Linked DNA regions of Ovis aries. The protein of the gene in region 3 interacts with the protein of the main gene of each other region in a biochemical or structural test. Links are inferred from orthologs where the notes say so. Each region holds a gene or a part of one and is shown on either strand. Other genes may lie near its edges.

Evidence for each region.
Region 1: the proteins of MAP2K7 (region 3) and MAPK8IP2 form a complex in vitro, tested with the Homo sapiens proteins (2 studies listed by BioGRID). The link is inferred for Ovis aries from reciprocal best matches to the Homo sapiens genes MAP2K7 and MAPK8IP2.
Region 2: the proteins of MAP2K7 (region 3) and GADD45B form a complex in vitro, tested with the Homo sapiens proteins (2 studies listed by BioGRID and IntAct). The link is inferred for Ovis aries from reciprocal best matches to the Homo sapiens genes MAP2K7 and GADD45B.

What each region holds. Positions count from the first base shown.
Region 1 is NC_056056.1:225,852,352-225,855,991, reverse strand, and holds part of MAPK8IP2 (C-Jun-amino-terminal kinase-interacting protein 2), read right to left. Parts: coding exon 3,629-3,640; intron 3,536-3,628; coding exon 2,324-3,535; intron 2,020-2,323; coding exon 1,944-2,019; intron 1,818-1,943; coding exon 1,645-1,817; intron 1,565-1,644; coding exon 1,455-1,564; intron 706-1,454; coding exon 601-705; intron 485-600; coding exon 414-484; intron 1-413. UniProt on the Homo sapiens protein: The JNK-interacting protein (JIP) group of scaffold proteins selectively mediates JNK signaling by aggregating specific components of the MAPK cascade to form a functional JNK signaling module.
Region 2 is NC_056058.1:18,909,490-18,913,618, forward strand, and holds GADD45B (growth arrest and DNA damage-inducible protein GADD45 beta), read right to left. Parts: upstream 2,649-4,129; 5' UTR 2,417-2,648; coding exon 2,373-2,416; intron 2,270-2,372; coding exon 2,168-2,269; intron 1,766-2,167; coding exon 1,543-1,765; intron 1,276-1,542; coding exon 1,162-1,275; 3' UTR 519-1,161; downstream 1-518.
Region 3 is NC_056058.1:14,400,387-14,404,026, forward strand, and holds part of MAP2K7 (dual specificity mitogen-activated protein kinase kinase 7), read left to right. Parts: intron 1-1,948; coding exon 1,949-2,090; intron 2,091-2,248; coding exon 2,249-2,315; intron 2,316-2,435; coding exon 2,436-2,549; intron 2,550-2,652; coding exon 2,653-2,772; intron 2,773-2,867; coding exon 2,868-2,975; intron 2,976-3,070; coding exon 3,071-3,250; intron 3,251-3,345; coding exon 3,346-3,426; intron 3,427-3,549; coding exon 3,550-3,640. UniProt on the Homo sapiens protein: Dual specificity protein kinase which acts as an essential component of the MAP kinase signal transduction pathway. Essential component of the stress-activated protein kinase/c-Jun N-terminal kinase (SAP/JNK) signaling pathway.

The DNA.
Region 1 (3,640 bases), on a different chromosome or scaffold from region 3:
GCTCCCCTAAAGACCCCCTAGTGCCTCTCACCCCTGGCCCTGGCTCAGCTGGCTCCATGCCAAGAAGACCCACCCTGTCACCCATCTGTCTTTCGAGGTTTATAGAGTGGTCTCCGACTGCACCCCCCCCCCAAGTCCCAGGAGAATTCAGCCACCTCTGTGCTCGCTGGAGCCCCAGAGAGATGTCCACTGGATCCCTAGAGATGCTTCAAGCACTTACTTGACTGTGTGTCTGTCTTCCCACCCAGACCACATGGGAGCCTGTCTGATCCATGTCTCCCGGACCCGGAACAGAGCGGGCGCCATGTGGGGCTCACCTCATGGAGCCAAGTGGGTGGGGCTGCTGGACGGCGGGACTGCATGTGGGCGGCCCTCGGGGCCTGAGGGGACTAGGGGAAGGGGAAGCCTCTTACCAGCTGTTGCGGGGGTGGCAGCCGCAGAACGAGATGTTCTTCATCTGGAAGAAGTGGCTGCAGTGTTGGAACTGGAAGAGACGGCAGAAGGGTTAGCAGAGGTGGCCCAGCCCGCCAGACACGCCTGCTCTGATCCGCCTGCTCCGCCCTTTGCAGCCGCCTCGGTGGTTCAGGGCCCACACCCCACCTCAGGGCCTCCGCTGAGACTCAGCTTGACACCCCGGAGAGAGATCTCAAGGTCACAAGAGGCAGGAGGACGCAGGTGGACGGTCAGTTTTCGGGCCGTGGCAATCTGCAGAGTCAAGGAGAAGAAGGTCTCAGGGGCCTACAAGCATCAGCTTCCCCCCTGGGGGAACATTCTCAATTAGGTCTGAAAAGCCGTGGCCCTGATTCGGGAAGATATGAGCATGGTCTTGGCCGCCCCGCGGTCTCGGGGTGGCCTGCCCCGTCTTCTCCCCGGCCCTTTGCAGGACTGCAGCCCCGGGCTCCTCAGCACCCGTCCCGTGAGAGGGTAGGGGCAGGGCTGCCCCGCCCCCCTGCTGCTCCGGCTCTGTCTCAGGACCGGCAGGCAGGCAGGCCCTCCTGAGCGGCCACTGAGCGAATACTGAGCGAGCAAATTGCATTCTCGGTGGCTCAGGTGGTAAAGAATCCGCCTGCGATGCAGAAGACCTGGGTTCGATCCCTGGATCAGGCAGATGCCCTGGAGAAGGAAATGGCAACCACTCCCGTGTTCCTGCCTGGAGAATCCCATGGGCAGAGGAGTCAGACGGGCTACAGTGCCTGGGGCTGCAAAGAGTCGGACACGACTGAGGGACTATCAGTGAGCCCCCGGAGGAGGGTCTGAGAGAGCTGGTCTTGACTTCCAGACACGAATAGGACAGGCTGCAGGGGGAGGTCAGTGGGATGGTGCCGGGGAACAGCCACGGCGCTGCCCTCGGCCTGTCTGCCAGCCCCTCCATCAGCGCTGGGGGTCCCAGGCTCGAGGCCTCCAAGGGCTGAGCCAGCCTGCAGCACTCGCCCCACCCCCAGCCCCAGACTGACCTTCTGCATGGCTGCACACAGGATGCCATTCCCCTGGTGGCAAGGCACCTCCACGGAGCCCAGGAACTGGACGTCGAAGCGCTCCACCCAGCAGGGGCCCCGCTTGCTCCCTAAGGGCCACAAGGGGCCTGGGTTAGGCCAGCAAGAGAGGGTCTGGGTGACACAATGACCCTTAGGGAAGGGGCCTCACCCAGCAGGTCCTTGGCAGGCCCTGGCACCGCATGGGCGTAGAAGGCAGGGAAGACCCCGCGCTCGCCCGTACGCATGTTGAAGCCACGGAACCAGAAGTCGTCCTCCTCAGCCTCCACCAGCACCGGGTCATCCACGTCCAGCTCCAGCTCATCGGGATGGCGGGGAATGAACCTGAGGGCGAGTCAGAGGTGGGAGATCACTAGGGCAGGGGCAGGAGGGCTGGGCTGTGCCCACCAGGGTCCCAGAGGGTCTGAGACTCGGGTGGAGGGTCAGCGCCAGCAAGGGGGGTGCCTGTACCTGAAGACAGCCCTGTGTGTTTGCTCTCTCTCCTCCCCATTGACCAGGCACGAAAAAAGGCCGAAAGACTCGGTGCCTGAGAGAGAGAAACAGAGGAAGGCTCAGGGAGGCGCTAGAAGGCCAGCCAGGGCCCCCTCCCCGCGGCCCCCTGGGGTGGGTTGGCCCTGTCTGGGGCTGGAGACAGAGCAGCCTCCCCTCGCCACTCCCCACGCGGGGGTAGCCCGGGAAAGCCCCCACGCAGGCGCTGGGTAAGAGGGCAGTGCCCAGCGCCGGCCACCCGCAGACCCTCAGGCTGTCCTGGCTCTTGGGGGCTGATCTGCGGCCCCCGGCGAGGAGCCAGCCTGCTCCCCTGGAACCACCCCCTCCCCCTTCCCACTCACTGGAAGACCGAGAGGTGCTGTTGACAAAGACGTTGAGGAACTTCTTGGAGAAGGTGAGGTCGGGGCTGTCCGGGGAGGCGTCCCCGGGGCCCTGCTCCCCACCCAGCAGCACGGCTCCTGCCTCCTCCTCGCTGGCCTCGCCTCCGCTGTCCTCGCTGTCCTCACCCAGGCCGGCGCAGCGCCGCAGGCTCACCAGCTCCAGCTGCGTGTGCTCGTCCACCACCAGCGTGTACTTGACCGCGTCGTACACCAGCGAGGCGTCCAGCGCCGCGGGGCCCGCTCCTCGGCCCCCGGGGGGCGCCGCCTTAGCCTCAGCTTCATCCTCCTCCTCTTCGTCCTCATCGTCGTCCTCATCCGAGCAGGCAGCGGAGCAGGCACGGCCTGGGCGGGCGGGGCGACCTGGGGCGGCCCACAGCGGGGTGATGGTGTCGCGCGTGGGGTTGCTGAGGAAGAGGCAGGGCCCCGGCTGCGCAGGGCCGGGCCGAGGGGCGGGGGGCGCGGGCGGCGGCGGCCCACACAGCGTCTCCATGTCCACCAGCTCCACGCCGCCAGGCGCCGCCGCTGCCGCCGGGGCCTCGCCAGCGGGTGAGGCAGGCTCCCCCGCAGGGCGCGGCGAGGGGGACAGGCACTGGCCGGGGCAGCGGATGGGCGAGGAGCCCTCGGAGATCATCCGGCTCACGAGGTTGCTGAGCAGCCAGGGCGAGTCGGCGTCCTCGCTGAGGTCCGGCTCCGACTCGGACCCGGACTCGTACTCGCTGTTGGTGTCCTCGGGGCCCACGGGCAGGAAGGCGGGGCGGCGCGGGGGCTCGCAGGGCGGCTCGGGCTCCGGCTCCGGCTCCGAGGCCGGCGACGAGGCCTCCTCGATGGAGTTGGTGAGGTGCGAGGAGCGGCCGCTGCTGCTGCTGCCGTCGTCACTGCTCCGCTCCAGCTCGGTCTCCGAGATAGACGAGATCATGCGCCCTAGGCGCGCGCCCCCGACGTCCTCGTAGTCGGAGCCCGGGGACGACAGGTCCTGGCTGCTGCGCCGGCCCCCGCGGCCTCCGCTGGAGCCGCTGCCCAGGTCGGCCTCGATACCCGGATCCGAGGAAGGGGAGGCCCCACCAGGTGCCAGGGGCCCTGCGGGCTGGTTTCCTTCGGAGTCGCAGCCTGGGCGCACAGGTGGCTGCGCCCCGCAGGGGTCCGTGTCGGTGGGCGCGAGGGGGACGGGCGCCTCTGCGGGGCAGAGGCTCAGGTCAGCCCCCCCTGCCCTCCCCCGCCTCCTGTGCCGCTCCCCAACACCCACCGCTACCCTGCTGCCCTGCTCACCTCGGAGAGGCT
Region 2 (4,129 bases), about 4.5 Mb from region 3:
GGCTTGGGTGGGGGGGTGCCCTCTGGGAGATCCTCAAAGTTCTTCCTGCTAGGCCCTAGCTCAGGGGCAGCTCTGAGCTCCAAGCCCACCTCGCTGTGTGGTCACAGGTGGCCCCTTGACCTCTCTGGAGCTGCGCTGCGGTGGCGGCTGAATAGGCAGGGGCTGCAGCCAGCCCCCCAGGGGTGCGTCTTCATGTGCCCAGAACCTGGGGTTGGCTCCAGCACCGCCAGTAACAGCAGCCACACGGCGGCCAGGTTTCGTAATAAACCGGTCTTTTAATTGCTACGGGGCAGGACGGGGGGAGAAGAAAAAAAAGAGGCAAAGATTTGTTGGACTTGGGTGGCGCCGGCTGCAGAGAGAAGAGGCACTGTTTTTGCAAGGAGCCTGGAGCGGCTAACTCGGACTTAAGTAACACTTCCTGGTGAGCCTGCAGGAGGGGGTGCAGGGGCACACTGCTGGGGTGGGAGGGCGTAGTGGGGGCTGGTCCCTCACAGGGACTGCAAATACACAAGAACCCAGAAGCTTTAAAAATTTATTACAAGGCATCATAGTAGAAGTAAAAATATATGTATCTGTAAGCTTCCCCTCTGTCTTTCAGTGGTTCAAGTAACAAGTGCAAGTAACAAAATAGATTGTCAATATACTGAGTTTGCAAGCTGGGAGTTCATGGGTACAGAGCAACATGAGCCCCTGCTCCCAAGTCCCAAAGTTATTGTCCGGGCCGGGCTGCCGACCCTAGGCCAACCAAGGCCCGTTTTTTTGCAGATGTCAGCTCGGGTCTCAAGAAGGGTGGGGGCTGCAGTCGTCAGTCCCACCCCACCCCCGAAGTGTGGAGCCCAGGCCCTCCTTGGTAGGGGAAGCAAGCAGCTCCCTGGCTCCTGCGTCTGCTCTGTCACCAGGCCTGAGCTCCCGGGTCCCCTCTCCTGCTGGCCCGGGTCCTGTCTTCTCCTCACACCGTGGCCGCCGCTGGCCCCCGGCTCCAAGCTTCCCGCCCTGGGGCGGCCGCGCACTCCCTCTCCTGTCTTCAGTCTCCAGCGATCCTGCCCCCGATGGTCTCACGGGTTGGGTTGTTGGGGGGGTTGTTCTGGGAGGGAGGGGGGGTCAAATATTTATGTGGTTTTGTGTTTTCGGCAGCAAGAGTTTCCGATGCCCGGCGGGGTCTCAGCGCTCCTGGAGGGAGATGTAGGGAACCCACTGGTTGTTCCCCCTACTTTCTTCGCAGTAACTGGCCACCTCCACCAGGCCGTGGCTTTTCCAGGTGTCTGTATGAGGGTTCTGTGGGAGGGCGAGAAGAGGGGGTTCAGCAGGAGCCCCAAGGAGTGGGTGGGGAGTGTCCCTCTCCCAGGGCTCCCATGGGGAAAACAGGCTGGCTCAAAATAACTCGCTAGGTGAAGAGGCCTGGAGGCTAGCAGGTTGCCCACGGGACATGCCAAGCGTGGCTGAACGCTGAGCTGGTGCACACCGGCCAGCTCCACTTTGTTGACAAACACGGGCCCAGGTGCCGGGTGGGGGTGGGGCAGGGCGGAGCCCCAGTTTGCTCACCGTGACCAGGAGACAGTGCAGGTCCCGGGCCTCGGTGGTGCCCTGGGTCTCGGCCGGCTCGCCCAGCAGCTGCGCCAGGCGCTGCATCCCCGACACCCGCACGATGTCGATGTCGTTGTCGCAGCAGAAGGACTGAATAAGCGTAAAGTGGATCTGCAGGGCGATGTCGTCCTCCTCTTCCTCGTCGATGGCCAGGAGGCACAGGACCACGCTATCAGGATCCCTGAGGGGCCAGAGGGGGATGGGTGGGTCAGCTGGGGACTCGGAAGGGCCCCCCTTCTCGTGCGGCGGGGAGTTTGCAAAAGCAGAGAGCAACTGCAGGTGTGCAGGGGATGGCATCTGCAAGCAGATGCTGGGGTGGGGGAGAAGACGCTCGGTTCAAAGGCCGGGCGTGGGTGGGGGGTAAGTCAGGGACATAAACAGGCGACTGTTTGCAAGTGATGTAGCCCCAGCATACTGCAGCCTCCACGCCTCAAAAAAAAAAAAAAGGGCAGAAAGATCCCCAATCCACAATGGGGACACTTGGGGGTGTCCCAGACCCATGCAAGACAGGAGTGCAGGAGGGAGATTGCAGAGCGGAGAGGGTCCCCACCCGCGCCCAGCCGGGAGACAGAGTCTGACTCACACATTCATCAGCTTGGCCGACTCGTACACCCCCACGGTGAGGCGGTCCTGGCGCTGCGCGGCCACCAGCAACTCCTCCACCGCGGCGCTCACCGTCTGCATCCTGGGGCCAAGGGAGAGCGGAGGTCAGCATCAGGCCAGGCACGGGGCGCCCCTTCCCCACCCGGCCCAGCCTGACCTCAGGTGGCAGGGGCGCCACTACTTACTTTTGCGCCGCGTTGTCGCACGCCACGAGCTCTTCCAGTGTCATGTTGCAGTTATAATCCACAGTGGAAAACAGCCTCACGACAGGTTCAAGGAAGAAAATGCAATATCCAAGGCTGGAAAGCCCAAAGCCTTCCCACGGAGACCAAGCGTTCGTCAAGACCTTAGGAAGGCAGCGAAATCCACCCCCAAAAAAGGCGGAAAAAATTGCAAGTGTCTCAGCAAGAATAATCCAAGTAGCAACTGCAAAAGATCCGAGTGCTCGGCGTCAGCGATCTGAGCTTGCGGCGGCAGGCACAGCCTTTTATAGACTAAGAGGTTAGGGGGCGAGGCCCCAGTGACCCGTTCGCCCCTCCGATTGGACAAAACACAAAGGCGAGAGAAATTCGCGCTGCGGTTGGTCGGCGGCGGGGAGGGGGCGGGGCGCCGCGCGGGGGTGCCCCACGTGGGGGCGAGAGCCGGGAGGAGGGCGCCGGGAGGGTGGGGGTGGAGCCGGGGGGAACTTGAGTGCCAGAAAAGAGAAAAAAAAGCAGAAGTTTTCTCTTATTTCCCGGCAGCCGCGCCGCGTTTCGGGGCGCGCGCGGGATTTCCAGCGCGCGAGGCGGCCCAGACTTTCGAGGGGGGGGGCCTGGAATCCCCTCCCGGTCCCCGGAGAGTCCCCGGCCCGAGTCTTTCCAGGTTCTGCAGCAGTTTTACACCGAGAGGGAGCCCAGTCTGCAGCCCGATCCCTAGGTGGTGGGGGGGGGGGGGGGGGGTAGCCCCAGGCTGCAGAGACCCCAGCCCCTGGGTGACTTTACTTTCTGGGCGTTTCTGCCCTTATCTGTCTAATGGGAATGCAAAGTTGGCCTCATTAGATTGCAGAGTCCTAAATAAAGTGAGGGATGCACAGTAAGCGCCTAGCACGCGGTGGTGGTCGCAGGAGGCCGCCTAGATCCCCCAAATTGCAGGCTGCGAAAGCGGCCTCAGAGTTCCCACCCGTCCTATGACAATGCGCACCGGCCTCACTGGGTTGCAGGAAACATTAACTAATAAGTGGAGTACACAAGAGACACTTGATAAATATCGCCTGGTAGTCTGGGAGGTCGCCTCGAGTTCCCCAGAACCAGGGGCTGCAGAGCCCAGGGCCGAGACCCGGTGCCCCCTCTCCAACCCCGCGAGTTTCAGGGTGGGGCGCGCGTGGGAGGCGCAGGTGGCTAGGCCTCGCAGGCTCCACGCCCCCTGCAGGCGCCTGGCATTGCAAGGTTTGACTGCCCCTGCTCACAGCGGCTCTGTTGGGGGAAATCCAGCCCGAGAGAGGGCGAAGGGAGCCGGTTCATCTGTGAGCCACGCGCTGCCACCTTTGCGCGCTTACTGTGATGGTGGCCGCTTTTATTCCCTCCGGAGTGGGCGCTGAATGTATGGAGCGCGCGCTTGGCCCCAGGTTCTCCGTATCACGGTTCATTGAATCCCCAAGAACCCGGGAAGCATGGGCTATGCTTATCTGCAGGATGCAAAAGGGTAAACTGAGGTTTGGTGGGGCCTCCACTAATTCAAGGCCCCAGTTAGCTGGTGCTGGAGTTACACGTGTGCGCCAGGCGCGGCCGCGCGCTCGGACAGCCGCCAACCACGCCATCTCCCTGGGAAAGCAGTTCACGAGCCAGGCGGGCAGGCCCGCGTGGGACTAGCTCCCACGGTCGATCGGGGGCTCCCGTATGACTCAGCTGCACCCCCACCCCCGCCAGCCTGGGGTCTGGCCTCGGCCTTAAGGCTAGATTCCCCC
Region 3 (3,640 bases):
CACCTGCTTGTGGGTTTGTGCCATGCCCTGTGTGTGTACGCGTGTGTGCTCACGGACAGCCTGGCAGGCTGCATGCTCCCCCCCCACCCCACCGCCCTGTGTCTTCCCTCGTCCTTGCTCATTCATCCTCCTCTTTTCTCTCTCCCCTTCAGTCTCTGGCTCTCATTTGGCCTTCCTGACCTGCCGTGGGCCCGGCACCACCTGTGTGATCTCTGTTTTCAGGGCCTTTGTATACCTCCTCCCGCCTTACCCCCCTTAGCCATCCTGCACCGGCTCCTCTTAAATACCTGCCGTGCTTCAGTTTGTGGGACCGGCTGGAAGCCTCTCTGCCCCCACAAACTGCCTTGGCCCCGGGCTCTGGGGGAGCCCTCAGAGGGCCCAGTGGACTGTGTGGGGGGTGGGGGGTGGGGGTGACAGGGCACAGAGAGGCCTGGGGAGGGGAGGGGAGGGGTGTGACCCTCACCCAGGGAGCCGAAGACAGTGTGGGGCAGTCTGCCAGGGATCCAGGGTCTTTGGGAGCCCTGGAGAGTGTCCAGCCAGAGAGGGAGGGTTTAGGACCAGGCTTCTGGCCATGGTAGAGCAGGGAGGGCACCGGAGGAGAGGCCTCTGGGCCAGTGGAGGGGACTGGGCTCAGCCACGTCCTCGGGCTCCCAGAGCTGTTCCATCACTCTCGCCATGCCCTCCTGGGACTGGCAGGCCAGGCTTATAGGTCTGTTCCTCGCTTTGGCTGCAACCAAGGTCGTAGGCCAGCAGGGCACAGAAAGTGCCCAGGCGCCAAGAGCCACACTGCATCTGTCTGTGCCTGTTGGCCACTGGGCCCACGCCACCAGGCGCCTGGAGAACTTGCAGGGGAGAAGCTCTGCCCCCCCGCCCAGCTCCCAGCCCGCTCTCCAAGGGGAGGTGGACCTGGGGGGTGCTTGTAGCCTTCGGCCTCCCCAGCCAGGGGCTCCCTTCTGGAGGCCGAGTGCCAGGGTCTCTGAGGTTTGCGGGTTCGCTGGAGGGCCGTCCACCTTTTCCAGGGCCACTCTGGCCTCTGCTCCCACTGTGTAGCCTGCCTGACCGGGAGGCTCCTTGTCCATCAGGGGCCTGCTCTCTGGTCCCCAGCCCCTCTCCGGCCTGTCTCTGCAGCGCCTCTTCTGGGCAGCTGGGCCCAAGTCTCAGCTCCCATCTGTCTGTCTCCCACCCTCCCGCCCCCTAATGCCGCCTGCCCATCCTGGGGTGCCCGCTGCCTGCCCGCTGCCTGCCCGCCTGCCTGTAGCATGCCCAAGCTGTCCGCATGCAGGCTTCTGGAAAGAACCAACCTCCCCACCTGGCCCGGCCCCTGGCCCTGGAGCCCTGCCGGCCCCTGGAGGGGCTGGGTCACCTGGCTCCCTTCACCTGAAGGACACAGGTCCAGCCTGGGCTCCTGCCCTGGCCGCATTGGCCCCAGCTCTGCAGGCCAGGCCGGAGGCTTACAGAGTCTGCTGGCCAGAGGGCAGCCCTCCCTGACCCTGAAACAGAACAGGCAAGGCAGCTGGAAGCCTGGGTCTCTCACCCACTCTCCCCAGTTCAGCGTTGCCACTTTGTGGGGGTGGTGGCCCTGAGCCTCTTCCTGGGCAGAGTGGGGAGGAAGGGGCCCCAGGGTAGGGGCGGCCTACCTGCCCGAGGTCCACTGGCAGCCTCAGGGCCTCCTTTCTCTATCAGGGAATACTTGGGGTGAACCCTCAGCCTCTGGGGACCACCCCTTCCCCCACCAGCCCACTGCAAGCCCTTCCCAGTCATGGGGGCTGGGAGAAAGCACCCCGAGAGTGGTCTAGGATTGGGGCGCGCTCCGTGTCTGCCAGGGCTGGGGGCTGTGCCAGCCCACCTAAGGGATACCAGGGAGGGAAGGATGGGGGCACCAGGGCCTGCAGTTGGGGCCAGCCAGGAGCTAACCCCCTCCCCACCCCTGGTTCTCACCACCCCCCAGCCCTGCAGCTCCCACTGGCCAACGATGGGGGCAGCCGCTCACCGTCCTCCGAGAGCTCCCCGCAGCACCCCACGCCCCCCGCCCGGCCCCGCCACATGCTGGGGCTGCCATCAACCTTGTTCACACCCCGCAGCATGGAGAGGTGAGCCTCCTGGTGGATGGTCGGGAGGTCAGGGCGCGCAGGGCCAGCCTCAGGGTGGCACTGGTGAGCTCTGTGGAACCCTCTGCATGTTGGAGGCTGGGGTAACCTCACGTTGGTCAGGACCCCCCTCCACCGGCACTCCCTCCCTCTCCTTTCAGCATCGAGATTGACCAGAAGCTGCAGGAGATCATGAAGCAGACCGGCTACCTGACCATCGGGGGCCAGGTAACCTAACGCACTTCCCTTGGTGGCCCCAGGGAGGGTGGGCACGACACAGCTGGGAGATGTGGGCCAGGGGTGAGGGCAGAGGCCTGCTGGATCCCCAGCCCTGGCTCTCCTTGCCAGCGCTACCAGGCGGAGATCAACGACCTGGAGAACCTGGGGGAGATGGGCAGCGGCACGTGCGGCCAGGTGTGGAAGATGCGCTTCCGGAAGACAGGGCACGTCATCGCTGTCAAGGTGAGCCCACCCCACCCTGCCCATGGGAGCACAACCCCCTTCCATGTCCCATGGGGCCCCTGCGCCCCAGGCTCAGCGCTAAGCCCTCGGCTGTCCCATGCAGCAAATGCGGCGCTCGGGGAATAAGGAGGAGAACAAGAGGATCCTCATGGATTTGGATGTGGTGCTCAAGAGCCACGACTGCCCCTACATTGTGCAGTGCTTCGGGACTTTCATCACCAACGTGAGACGAGGGCTTCCCCCAACCCCCCCATCTCCTCCCCTGGGCCCTGAGCCTGTCGGGTGGGCAGAGGGGTACAGCCACTGCTGTCCCTGCAGACGGACGTCTTCATCGCCATGGAGCTCATGGGCACGTGCGCAGAGAAGCTCAAGAAGCGGATGCAGGGCCCCATCCCCGAGTGGATCCTGGGCAAGATGACGGTGGCGGTGAGTGGCCTGGAGGGCACAAGTGGGCAGGCAGGCGCCCCCCCAGCCTCGGCTTCCACGTCACCGATAAGTGCCCTCCCCTGCCTACACTGCAGATTGTGAAGGCGCTCTACTACCTGAAGGAGAAGCATGGCGTGATCCACCGTGACGTCAAGCCCTCCAACATCCTGCTGGACGAGCGAGGCCAGATCAAGCTTTGTGACTTCGGCATCAGCGGCCGCCTGGTCGACTCCAAAGCCAAAACGCGGAGCGCGGGCTGTGCCGCCTACATGGCAGTAAGTAGGGGGACCGGGGGTGCTGGCGGGAGGGGTGGTGCACCCACCCCGGGCCCAGGGCTCATTCATCACCCTCTCCCACCTCCCACCTGCAGCCTGAGCGCATCGACCCCCCGGATCCCACCAAGCCTGACTATGACATCCGGGCCGATGTGTGGAGCCTGGGCATCTCCTTGGTGAGTTGGGGCCCCGGCTTTTGGAGGCTGGGTTTTCTCGCGGCCCGGAGGCAGGGAGTGGCAGCAGAAAGGGCAGGGCCCCGTCCTCCCTGGCCGGCCCAGCCTTGCCCGTTTCTCTCCCAGGTGGAGCTGGCGACAGGACAGTTCCCCTACAAGAACTGCAAGACGGACTTTGAGGTCCTCACCAAAGTCCTCCAAGAGGAGCCCCCGCTCC